Drosophila melanogaster: one gene and its partner. The protein of the gene in region 1 interacts with the protein of each later gene in a pairwise test. Each region holds a gene or a part of one and is shown on either strand. Other genes may lie near its edges. The genes, in order: Exo70 and Vps51.

The links.
Region 2: the proteins of Exo70 (region 1) and Vps51 interact in a two-hybrid assay, tested with the Drosophila melanogaster proteins (2 studies listed by BioGRID).

What each region holds. Positions count from the first base shown.
Region 1 is NT_037436.4:8,409,758-8,416,460, forward strand, and holds Exo70 (exocyst 70), read left to right. Parts: upstream 1-2,093; 5' UTR 2,094-2,203; coding exon 2,204-2,251; intron 2,252-2,289; exon of another isoform or gene 2,290-2,304; coding exon 2,305-2,470; exon of another isoform or gene 2,471-2,540; coding exon 2,541-3,052; exon of another isoform or gene 3,053-3,068; intron 3,069-3,254; exon of another isoform or gene 3,255-3,317; coding exon of another isoform or gene 3,318-3,971; exon of another isoform or gene 3,972-4,346; intron 4,347-4,460; coding exon 4,461-4,525; intron 4,526-4,587; coding exon 4,588-5,318; intron 5,319-5,377; coding exon 5,378-5,700; intron 5,701-5,769; coding exon 5,770-5,903; intron 5,904-5,958; coding exon 5,959-6,061; 3' UTR 6,062-6,153; downstream 6,154-6,703. Other genes in the region: Oseg1 (outer segment 1), read right to left, coding at 1-1,286, 1,358-1,588, 1,672-1,736; mtrm (matrimony), read left to right, coding at 3,318-3,971; CG32354 (uncharacterized protein), read right to left, coding at 6,223-6,703. UniProt on the Drosophila melanogaster protein: Required for exocytosis. Thought to function in intracellular vesicle targeting and docking before SNARE complex formation.
Region 2 is NT_033778.4:18,707,565-18,712,765, reverse strand, and holds Vps51 (vacuolar protein sorting 51), read left to right. Parts: upstream 1-1,900; 5' UTR 1,901-1,990; coding exon 1,991-2,071; intron 2,072-2,147; coding exon 2,148-2,899; intron 2,900-2,959; coding exon 2,960-3,596; intron 3,597-3,648; coding exon 3,649-4,179; intron 4,180-4,231; coding exon 4,232-4,344; intron 4,345-4,400; coding exon 4,401-4,509; 3' UTR 4,510-4,614; downstream 4,615-5,201. Other genes in the region: CG15073 (uncharacterized protein), read right to left, coding at 4,744-5,201. UniProt on the Drosophila melanogaster protein: May act as a component of the GARP complex that is involved in retrograde transport from early and late endosomes to the trans-Golgi network (TGN).

The DNA of each region.
Region 1 (6,703 bases):
ATCCGCCTGTTGTGTGGGTATAGCAGAGCATCGAATCCAGGTGCGTGTTCCAAGTGACGCTGTTTACACCCGTATCCTGGTACAAAATTGTATCGTTGATTACGTCCCGCACAACCAAGCGACCCACATCGTCCACAACTGCGATCTTGCTGCGCTTCGAATTGATATCCAGGCAGCGAACCGCTGACACCGCAGTGGTGATGAGCAGTGGTAGTGAGTTGTTGAGAAAGATTCGGAACACTTGGCCGTTCTTCAAGCCCACCATTAGTCCTTCTCTTCCCACGGGGCCACCGGTGACTTTGATGTATCTTATGAACGAGTCCATGATCCACTCGCGCTGCAGGACACCCATGAAATCCAGACATTGGAGACGCTTCTCCTGGCACAGGACAATGTGACGGCCACAAACAACCAGCAAGCTGCAGTCGAACTTTTGCTGGATCTTCTCGCGCACTTTATAGTGCATGGGTTGATCCTCTCCAGAGCTCAGCTCATAGAGAACCACACGTTCCGGCAACTGAACCGCCAGTCGATTCCGATAAATGGCTATTTTCTGAACTAAATCTCGACACTTGATGCGCACCTTTTGGCCAGAGATCAGGTGCTGAATGATCACGTCGCACATGTTTTCCCGGAAGGCATAGCGCTCGCGGTAGAGGGCATGCACGGTACTAGACGCAATGTTGAAGCAGGCCAGGGTTCCATCTTGACACCCAATGGTGTAGGATTGACCATTGGGATGTAGGGCAACTGTCCAGATCCAGGTGTCAAAGGTATCGCCCAACGTACCCAGCCGAATGCCCTCCCTGGTGAAGAAGTGTAGACCTCCAGTGCAGCCGCCCACCAGGCAGAACTCCCCATTGGGAAAGTACTGCAGGCACAAGGGATCAAAGCCCAGGGTTCGCTCCTTGCCAATCATCTGGCCGCTCAGAGTGTGAAAGGATAGCGTTTGGCTCCAGTCCACCACACCGATGGTGTCCACACTGCCAGGACCGCTGGCCGGACAACATTGGACACTGAAGACGTTGCTGTTGGGCCCACCAGGCCGATCGATTCTCCCCTTCTCCTCGCCCAACTTGTTCCTAATGGATATGGTGCCATTGGCCAGGCCCAGGATCAGGTACTGTCCATCATTGGTCCACGAGCAGCCATTGACACGCGCGGATATCTTGTACTTTTGCACCGCCTTCTGATCAGCCGACCAAAAGGCAAAATCCGACAAGGAGCACGAGGCCAGGTGGTGCGAAACAGGATTGAAGCTCATGCACTGTATGGAGTCACCGTGCCTATGAATGTAAATATATTTTTATATTTATATAAAAAACTAGAATTTATTGCAAGTGTGCTGAGAACTCACGAATACTTGAGCAGTCCCTCAAGCTGAGGTGACCACACGATGACCATTTTATCGGAGGCTCCGCTGGCGAACCGCTTGCCATCCCGCGAGTAGGCCACACAATTGACCGTATCCTTGTGCGCCTTCAAGGTGTTCAGCAAGGAGCCATCGTTTGGATCGTAGATGAGCAACCGATCCCCCGCAGCCACCACCAATTGGCTGCCATCGGGTGCGTAGCACACATTGTGGACACTGGAAAATTGGGTTTTGCAAATACCGTTATGGCGTTATAGCAAGCAACAGGTTGTTGTTTTCCACGAATGAGAAAGCTTTACCTGATCTCATTGTCTTTGCTATTGGGAAACTCTATGCGTTCCAGCCACTTGAGAACACCCCTCATTGTTGCAGAAGTCGAATTGGCTAATCCTGCATAGTTGGTAGAAATTCCTAAATGCAGGTGCGTTGTTTACACACAGATTCCATGGCAACCAACCACAACAAAAGTTGGCGTCTTGGCTGGAGATGGCAGTTTGGCGGGTTTTTCCGTTAGTTTTGGCTTTTAAAACTAGGACTTGACTAATAAACTAGTACTAGTAGTAAAAACAATTTATTTAAAACATAGCCTCATTATCGTTTACCTAATTGTCTAAGTGTACAATATTTAAAAAAAGTTTCTATTACTATCTGAAATGACCGTTATAATTTTTTTTTTCGTGCAAAGTAGTTGGCAACGCGGTAATTGACAGTATGACCAAAGCCAGTGTGCATAAATGCCTAGTTTCGTCAAAACAAAATAAAATAGAATTGTTTTTTATATCAGAACTATTGTTTGTTTTTAAAGGATTTTAGCTACATATACGCTTGAAAATGAACAATTTGGACAGTTCATTGCAGGCGCACAATAAATTGGAGAAGGTATGTCTAGTTGTCATGCTCAAAACCTCCATACTTACCCATTTTCCTCATAGGAAGCCACCAATTTAGCTCTGCTGAAAGATCGAGTGGATAAATACCATGATCTGTCCACGCAAATGTCCAGTATTCTAACAATCTTCGAGAAGCGCCTGGGAAACCTGGAGCAGACCATATTGCCCGTCTACCAGGAGACGGAGCAGCTCCAGAAACGGCAGCAGAGTATGAAAATAAACTCAATGGGATTTCAAAAAAAAAAAACTAATGTGTCACCGCCTCTTTTTTTTTTTAGATCTGGAAGCTACTCTCAATTGTCTGGAAAGCGTCCTGTCCCACTACGATGTCTCCCAAGAGGTCTGCCAGTTGATTCATCAAGGCCCGGTGGAGGGAAACATCTCGGTGTTCCTCGACGCACTAGCCAAACTGCGCGATGCCAACGATTACTTCCGGCACAACAATTCCCAGAGCGTGGAGCTGGAGAATGTCACCAGTTTGTTTAACACCGGCTGCGAAGGCCTGAGTCAGCACTATAGTATGCTCCTCAAGAAGCACAGTGCTCCGCTGAAGCCGGTGGAGTTGCTGGATCTTATCTACATAGAGGACGATTCCAGCGATGAATACACCTCATTCCGGCAGCTTTCGCAAACGACGCGCGAGGAGCTGTACACCATATCGCACTGGTTGGAGCAAAATTTAAGGGAGTACACAAACATCTACGCGACGGAACGGGGCGAAGTGGTTCTCCGATCGCTGCAGCTGCTCAAGGATCACCAAAAGAGCAACAGTTGGGGTCACGAGGCTCTGGTGAGTAAACAGTTCTTTCATATTCTAACTAGTATTAATACATATATATTATGTGGAGAAAAATAGTACGTAGTAGAATATGAATAGCGATGTGTACGATGATGAGCATATGTATGCTTTTCCCATCTCTGATCGTTTCGGTTAACGGTGTCTGTTCGAAAAAGCTTGTGCATGTAAGCATTACATGTCCAATTCGATGACCGCCATTTGCCAGCTTGAATTCGCAAAGAACGCATCATTTTCTGTGTCACAGTATCTAAAAAAAATGGAGAATTCTCGCACGCCCACGAACAAGACCAAAATTACGCTTAATCGCACGCCAACGCTAAAGGAGCGCAGATGGAACACCCTGAAGGTGAACACCTCCAACGTGCGATGCTCTACTCCGATCTTTGGCAACTTCCGTTCGCCCAATCTCTCGCCCATCGAGAATATGGGCACGAAGGGGAAGAGTCCAGTGTCGCCCATGCGGTTCGCTACCTTCAAGAAAGTGCCAACGAAGGTGCATCCCAAGCAGCAGCAGCAGCAGCAGCATCAGCACTGCCATCGCACTCAGCTTAAGCCCCCGCCATTCGTGCTGCCCAAGCCGCAGGAGGAGATCATCGAGCCGGAGCGAGAAATAAAGAGCTGCAGCAGCCCGGATACCTGTTCGGATGACTCGAATATGGAGACCTCACTGGCCTTGGAGTCGCGTCGTCGTTCCATCAAAGCATCGAACCACTCGTACGTGGTTAACCATGCCGCCAATGTGGAACAGATTCTCATGCACATGGGCCTGGAGAACTATGTGACCAATTTCGAAGAGGCTCACATCGATCTGGTGGAACTGGCATCCTTGGAGCGTGCTGATCTTGTTAAAATCGGCCTAAATACCGATGAGGATTGCAACCGTATCATGGATGTGCTCCACACTCTTTAAGTGAATCGCTGGCATGTCCATCTTTTATCATACACTAAGATTTTAAAATGTTTTATGTGAAGAGAAACTTTGTGATTTTAATATATGTGGATAATTAAGTAGGTATTCTAGAATTATTGTAAAAGACCTGGTGTCTTAAAGCTCGTCGTTTTTAGCCTTAAATAATAAACTCTAGTACACTTTAAGAATCTATGTAATTCCTAAAATGTTGCTCCGAAGCTCATTTACAAATTTAAATTTATTTCGTAAGCTAGCAAATTGCATAATACTTTTTGTCAAAAAAAAAAAAAAAAATTGGGGTATAAACGCTTTTGTAAAACACACATTTTTAAAATTAATAAACTCATAAGAATCAAATGCATATTAAAAGGTTACAAAAATAAGAGTTTTTAATTTGCTACCATTTTAGTACCTTAATTATTCCGAAGAAACATTAATGCAATGGCAATTAACAATTCAAATTAATGTTTTTAAAATGTTTTCTTGCAGAGACCGCGACACAGTGGACGCCAAACGGAGCCAAAAAAGACAACCTCCGCTCGTCTTCAGCAAATGTGAGAAATATTACTTAATTTCCAAGTTTTCGTATATGATATATTTAATTTATTCTGCATAGATTCGAAAAGAAGGCGAACAAGTTATATTTACGCGCGACGCAGACGATTGAGCAGTCCACAGGGTTCTCCATTAAGAAGGCATCATCGCACAGCGACCACCTGACCTCCGAGGATTTGATGGATGGCGATCAGGAACTGGACAAGTATCTGGTCATGTTGCTGGGACTGCAGCGGTTACTTAACTGGGAGCGAGCCATCATGATCGACATTATTCCCCAGTCGAAACACAACGAGGTATTCGCCACCTTGGCCTATAATGCCATCGATCTGGTGGTTAAGGACGCTGAGGCCATTACGCAACGCATCCTGCGCTGCATTTCCCGCAAGGAGTGGACCTCGGCGTTGGGAATATTCTCCGCCCTAAAGCGGGTTATACTGCTGCAGCCGGATATTGACCGCACATACGATCCTGCGCAAAGGGAACAGTTGAAAAAAGTACTAAAAAAGTTGCAGCACACCGGTGCCAAGGCATTGGAGCATTTCCTGGACGTAGTCAAGGGCGAATCGAGCACCAATATTGTGGGCCAAAGCAATGTTCCAAAGGATGCCACCGTGCACGAGCTGACCTCCAATACGATCTGGTTTATTGAGCACTTGTACGATCATTTCGATGTTATTGGTTCCATTTTGGCACAGGATGTCCTGTACTCCACGCAATTGGACACCATTTTGATGAAGAAGGCGCTGCCAGTCGAGGAACGCAATAAGGCGCTCTTGGCGATTTACATAAGTGAGTGGCAACAAGATCAATTGTGCGAACATTTTTAAACCACTATCTATATTTTGCAGAGAAAGCTTTGGCCGAACTGAATCTTTCCATAATGAACAAGTGCGAGCAGTACAATGACCAGGCCACCAAGCACCTCTTCCGACTAAATAACATTCACTATATCCTCAAGTCGCTGCAACGCTCCAATCTTATTGATTTGGTCACCTTGGCTGAGCCTGAGTGCGAACATAGCTACATGGAGATGATACGTGAACTGAAGGCTAGCTATCAAAAGACCTGGTCCAAGATGCTGGTCGGCATCTATTCCTTGGATGAACTGCCCAAACCAGTGGCCGGCAAGGTCAAGGATAAGGATCGCAGTGTGCTCAAAGAGAGATTTTCTGTAGGTTTTTATTTTTAAAATAAGCTAAACTTTCTTGATTTAAAAAAAAACATCCTCTATAATTTCCAGAACTTCAATAAGGACTTTGAGGAGGCATGCAAAATCCAGCGGGGCATCTCCATACCCGATGTGATCCTGCGAGAAGGCATCAAACGTGATAATGTGGAGCACATACTGCCCATCTACAATAGATTCTACGAAATGTAAGCGTATATAGGGTTTATCAGCTTATACCTAACCATCTTGTATCATTTTTAGTTACTCTGGAGTGCATTTTAGTAAGAATCCCGACAAATACGTCAAGTACAGACAGCACGAGATCAACGCTATGCTGAGCAAGCTCTTTGATGATTCGGCTTAGATGTTAAATGCAGGCCAGGCTTTAAGTGCATTCCTTGTAAGTTCGTTGGGGGGCTTTAATTCAAACTCAATAAATATCGTTTTAAAAAAAGTACAATACAAGACTATAGCCTACAAATATTAAATGCCAAGTGAAATGAAGACGCCACGCATACATACGTCCTAGTAAAGGAAGTTAGTGGATGGTGCTTCGGGGCGGCCACAGGCGCCGTAGTAGTTGACGTTCACCGTCTGGTTCGCCCTGCAGTTTTCGATCTCCAGGAAGCAGTCGTTCAGATACGTTTTATTGTCGCTGCCGCAAACAGGCTCGAATTCCCTGGGACAGATGCGGGCACATCCTTTAAGCTGAAAGGCGGCAAGGCAGCGCTTCAGTGGCACCACGAAAACATGCTTGCCACAATTCTCCTTGCGCATGTGGCACTCGGACTTGTACAAGTTGTTGTCCGATCCGCAGACGAAACTTGGCGGCTGGGCATCACAATCCGATTCGCAGTCGGCGGTTAAAGCGCAATTCTTTAGCGAAACGGGCACCACACGCAGATCGCAAGTGCGCCGCTTGAACTCGCACATGGAGGCGAAGGTGTTGCCATCCGAGCCGCACACTGGCTGCTGTTCCAGATCCGCCCGAGTACAGGCATCCCCG
Region 2 (5,201 bases), on another chromosome or scaffold:
CGCACGCAGAAGTGAGAAGGGGAGCAGGAGTGGGGTGGGGGAGAAAGTGAGGTGTGGAAAACCTGGGACAATGGCAACTTGACCTTGACACGTTCGACGCTTTCCGCCGCCCTCACGTCCTTCAGCTTTTCACTTTTTTTTTTTGTTATATTTCGCTCGGCTTACGTAAATTCAATTTTCAGTTTGATGAAAGCAAAGTTCATGCCACACACAAGCGCGAGTGTGTGACACACTGTCCCACTGTCGGTCTTTTCTTTTTTTGTTTGTCTAACCTTTAAGAAGACCATTGCAATTAAAAGTTTTAGTTTTCAATCATAGAAATGATTTGGAATATGAATAATGGTTATTCATTACAAACATATAATAGCATAGTGTGTTGCGAATTAGGATCCTCATCAAACTCCTCATTGCTATACATTTTTCTCAGTGCACATGATACAAGTTTGGAGGCTGATGGCATTGGAGAGCGTGTGATTTGCACAATCTGCACACAACTCGAAATTAAATTCGGCCCCGGCAACAGCTCGAACTTTTTTGCGAAAGGTCAAAATGTTAATGTATTTGAAATGAGACGCCACAAAGGAACGAGAGCGAAAGGAGCCCAGGATAAAATATAGTGCGAATGGTGGGAAAATTACGGGGAATGCTGCAGGGCCAGCAGCCGAAAAGCGAGACTCAGATGCGAGATACAGCAGCACAGGGAACTTTAGGCCCTCGGAATGTGGCAAAAACTTGTCCATGTTCATTCAACTTGACACGGTCGCCAGCGGGCAGACGAACTCCCACCGAAATAAAAAAGGACGCACCAAGAAGTACAAACAACTGCTACATATTTATGCCACGACACTGAAAATACCCATTACAAAAAATGATTTAATGATGTTTAAAAGATATTAAAACTGTAACATAGGGCAATTCAGAATTCAGAAGAATATATCTTTCAATAAGCGTTACATAGTTAATCGCAGTTTCGAAATACCCAACGACAGGGTATAAGACCTTAACAAAAAAGATGTCTGGTAGTGTGGAGGCGGTGGGCGTGGAATGTTTAATGCGATTTGCCACACGTAACTCAGTCTGGGGAGACTGTTGAATTACTTAGGATACAGAAGCCCACATCGTGTTCTACTTTTGTGCTTTATTGAGCCAGGTGATATACAAAGTTATTTGCCATGATTTGGGTCCAAAATGCACAGCATTGTCACGGGGTCCGTTAAGCAATCTACAAAATGTTTAAGTAATTAGGTACATTAGTTAACTAACATTTTGTTGTTACTAACCAGCAGTCACAAATGAGCTGCACAGAGCTGCAATTAATGCGGAAACAAAGAGTAATAGCTTCATGTTGTGATTGCTTTAATAAAACCTTTTACATTAATGCCATTTATGAAAAACAAACAAGTATTTTCTTATCAGTTTGAAATGGGAGATTCCCAATAACAAAGCCGCGATTAGAATAAAAATGACAGAGAGCTTTGCAAACTAAGATAATCTCAGTTCACGTCTCTCACGATTTAATACCAATTCATCACACACCTATGTGCCTAAAAATAAAAACAAAAAGAAAAAACAATAAAAAAGATAATAAAATAATATATTTAATAAAGACACTAACTTTATAAATACTCAGAAAAATATTAAAAATTAAAATTCTTTCAATATAATGCCATAGCAGTACTATTCTGCATTAACATTTAACTGTCTAAATTATTATTCACTTAATAATATAATAATAATATAATAATATTTCTATTTAATTTAAAATAAAAAGTTGCTAAACGCGCACCGTTCAAAAAATGATTGTGTGGCGGTATTGGATATCGATAACAATATTGGTAGTCAGCTGTTAAATGAGGGAAACATTTTTCGTTGCCCAACACACCTTAACTTATCGATATACGAAAAAAACGATAAATCTTCAGCAACAACAAGTTCACAACATTTAGTTTATTTATTTATTTAGACTAGTGGTAAAAAAAAGTTCTACAAAATGGCTGAAACCAAAGCCAATCCCTTCGACATGGACAGCTCCAGCTTCGATGCGGAAAAGTATCTGGAAAGGTTGCTCAAGGTAAGAACAACAAAATAGTGAAGTAATAATCATTAACTTATGCACTTTTTGTTCTGGCTGTTACTCACAAATAAAGGATTGCTCCTTAAAGCAAATAATGGATACGGAGGCGGCGGTGGTCAAGGACACACAGACATTGCACTCTGATATGCAGACGCTGGTCTACGAGAATTACAACAAATTCATCTCCGCCACGGATACAATTCGCCGGATGAAAGATGACTTCAAGCAGATGGAAACGGATGTGAACCTACTGATGACCAAGATGCAATCCATAACGACTTTTAGTGAGCAAATAACCGGAACGCTGCAGGGCACCAGATCGCAACTATGTCGCCTGTCCGAGAAACACTCGCTCCTCAAAAGGCTGCAGTTTCTCTCAACTCTGCCAGCTAAACTGAAGTCCCTCATCGAGGAACAGAACTACGCACAAGCTGTCCAGGACTACCTGCATGCCCAGAAGGTGTTCGCCCAGTACGGTCGACAGCCGTCCTTCGATGGAATCCAGCGAGATTGCGACGCCATCATGGCAGATCTCAAGGAGCAATTGCGAAGTGACTTTCAAAGGGCTGGGAACACGGCCCAATCCTTGACGGAAATTGGAGAGCTACTCCTGCAGCTGGACGAAAAGACTTCGGATCTGGCAAGCGAAATGCTGACTTGCGCTGGCAAACGACTGCACGAGCAAATCGTCATGCTGCAGGATCAAACAGAGCGTGATATGCTGGAGTTTGTGGACATGGGCATCGATGGTTTCCTCAACGATCTGGCACTGGTAGTGACTTCCTACTTTGACATGTTTGTGGCCAAGCACTACGAGCATGAGCGGTAAATTGAACAATATTTTGTATAATCTTAATTGAGTTTTATTATCCATTCCATTTTCAGCGATGACTTTCAGGAGAACGCCCTGCAGGAGCTAAATGTCTTCCTCAATCAGAACATCGAAAAGTATCTGACACTCGTCCAGGATCGTGTTGAGTCCGACATTGGCTACGGCGATACCCAGGTAATGCTACGCGCTCTGGATCGACTTCATCGGCGCCTTCAGGCCATGCGAAATATCTGCCGCGGCTTGGAGGTCCAACGCAACACAGTATCTATCATTATTTCGGCTGCCCACCAACTATGCGATGCCCATGCCAAAAACCTCAAAGATCACTTTGCCGACAGTTTGAGTGCGGTTCGTCTGTCGCTGGTTTCTGCCAAGAGCGATGCAGCTGCTGGTCTCAATCTCGGTGATCTGATAAGCAACCTTTATGTGTCCATGGTGGAGAAAATAAAGGGTGTACTGCAGGACTTGCTTATATTCCTGCGCACCGACTGGTCGTTTAACATCAAGGCGGAACACAAGGGCGCCCTGTGCGTAGAGGGCATTCGGGAGAACCTACTCATTGGCTTCCTACGTCATATTGCCAAGGTGATGTGTGGTTTCGGAGATGCCTCCAGCTCCAGTCCACCCAATCTACTGCTGGTGCTGTCGAAAACGTGTCTGGAACTCGAGCAACAGGGCGTTCACATACTGGTGAGCTTTCTATTGCAACTATTTTTGATTCCCTAACAAACTAAATCCTCAGATTGCTCTGGTTGATGACCTGTACGAAATCGACTCGGAGAACAGTGCAACGCTTACCCACGAAACTGAGATATGTGCTGAAATGCGGGAGACGGCACAGTCACTATTGGACGCCTATGTGCGGCTGCAGGGCACCAATATCTCGCAAATGTTACGCAAGAGCGTGGAAACAAGGGATTGGCTTAACTGCCTGGAACCACGATCCGTTCGTGCGGTGATGAAGCGTGTGGTGGAGGAACTCGGCAGCATCGAGACGGTGGTGGCCAGTCTGTACGAGGCAAACACTAATGCAACGTCAGGATTCCGCACCACAGCGAGCAGTGACTCTAGCCGAAAAACATATTTCAGTAACTTTGCTTCCACCTCAAAGCCACAGTATCGTTCCAATTGGTCAAACTACACGCCTTCGCAGCTGGAATCCAGCTATGTGTCCAACATACATCGCTTGTTTTCGGAGCGAGTGGAAATCTTTACTTCAGTAGAGTTCACCAAGGCCTCAATTATAATGGGAATTATTAAAATTGGTCTAAAAGTAAGTGAGTTTATGAAATGAAGGTGGCTATTTACGTGATTTATGTTTCTAGACCCTTTTGGAATGCGTGAGGCTGAGAACTTTTAGCAAATTCGGACTTCAGCAGATTCAGGTGGATGCTCATTATCTGCAAATGAACCTATGGCGATTTGTAAGCGATGAAAAGTGAGTTAGTTTCGAAAACTGAAAGATATGATAAACTAAACACACTTGTTTGGCAGTCTGGTGAACTTCCTGCTGGACGAGATTCTTGGCTCAGCTGTGCAAAGGTGCTTGGAGTCCGTTTTAATGGAGCCCAATGCTGTGGAAATTATTTGTGAACGGGGTTAGTATTTGTTTCCACAACATAAAGCAACATTCCACTTAAAATCTCCGTCTATTTTGTTAAACGCTGCTAGCTTAAGGATCTAAAAATAAACACCCTGTTTCTAATTTAGATAGTTATTTAAAATGTCTAGGAAATTGACTTCATTTTTTTTTTGTTAGAAAAATCTTTCAAATTCCAATTCTGCCATTTTTTAACTGTGCTGGTTACGGGTACACCAAATGTAACAGAAATCATTTTCAATCTGTGGTATCGGCACTGAGACACAGAGTGAACTCGATGGTATCTCCCTTAATATCCTCCTCGGTATTTGTCAGCAGAATGCTGTGGGATTCCCCATCTTCGCCCGTTGAGATGGTCAACACGCTGGGTGTCTCCTCCTCGATGGCTTTTCGTTTCTCGGTGCGTGCCTTCCTTGCCTCCTCGAACTCTTTGGGATGACACTTCCTACGATGCGTGTGCTGATTCGCATTGGAGTTAAATGTTTTCGGGCAGTGAGGACACTTGTAAAGCACCTCGCCCGTATGCATGGTCATGTGTTCCCTCAGTGTGATGGCCTTTTTGAAGGCTTTATTGCACACACTACATTCGTGCTTCCTATCCGTGAGATGCACATATCGCTGGTGACTCAGCATGGCACTCCTATTGGGCGAAACCTTTCCACACAGATCGCAAGTGGCAGCAGTGCCATTATGTC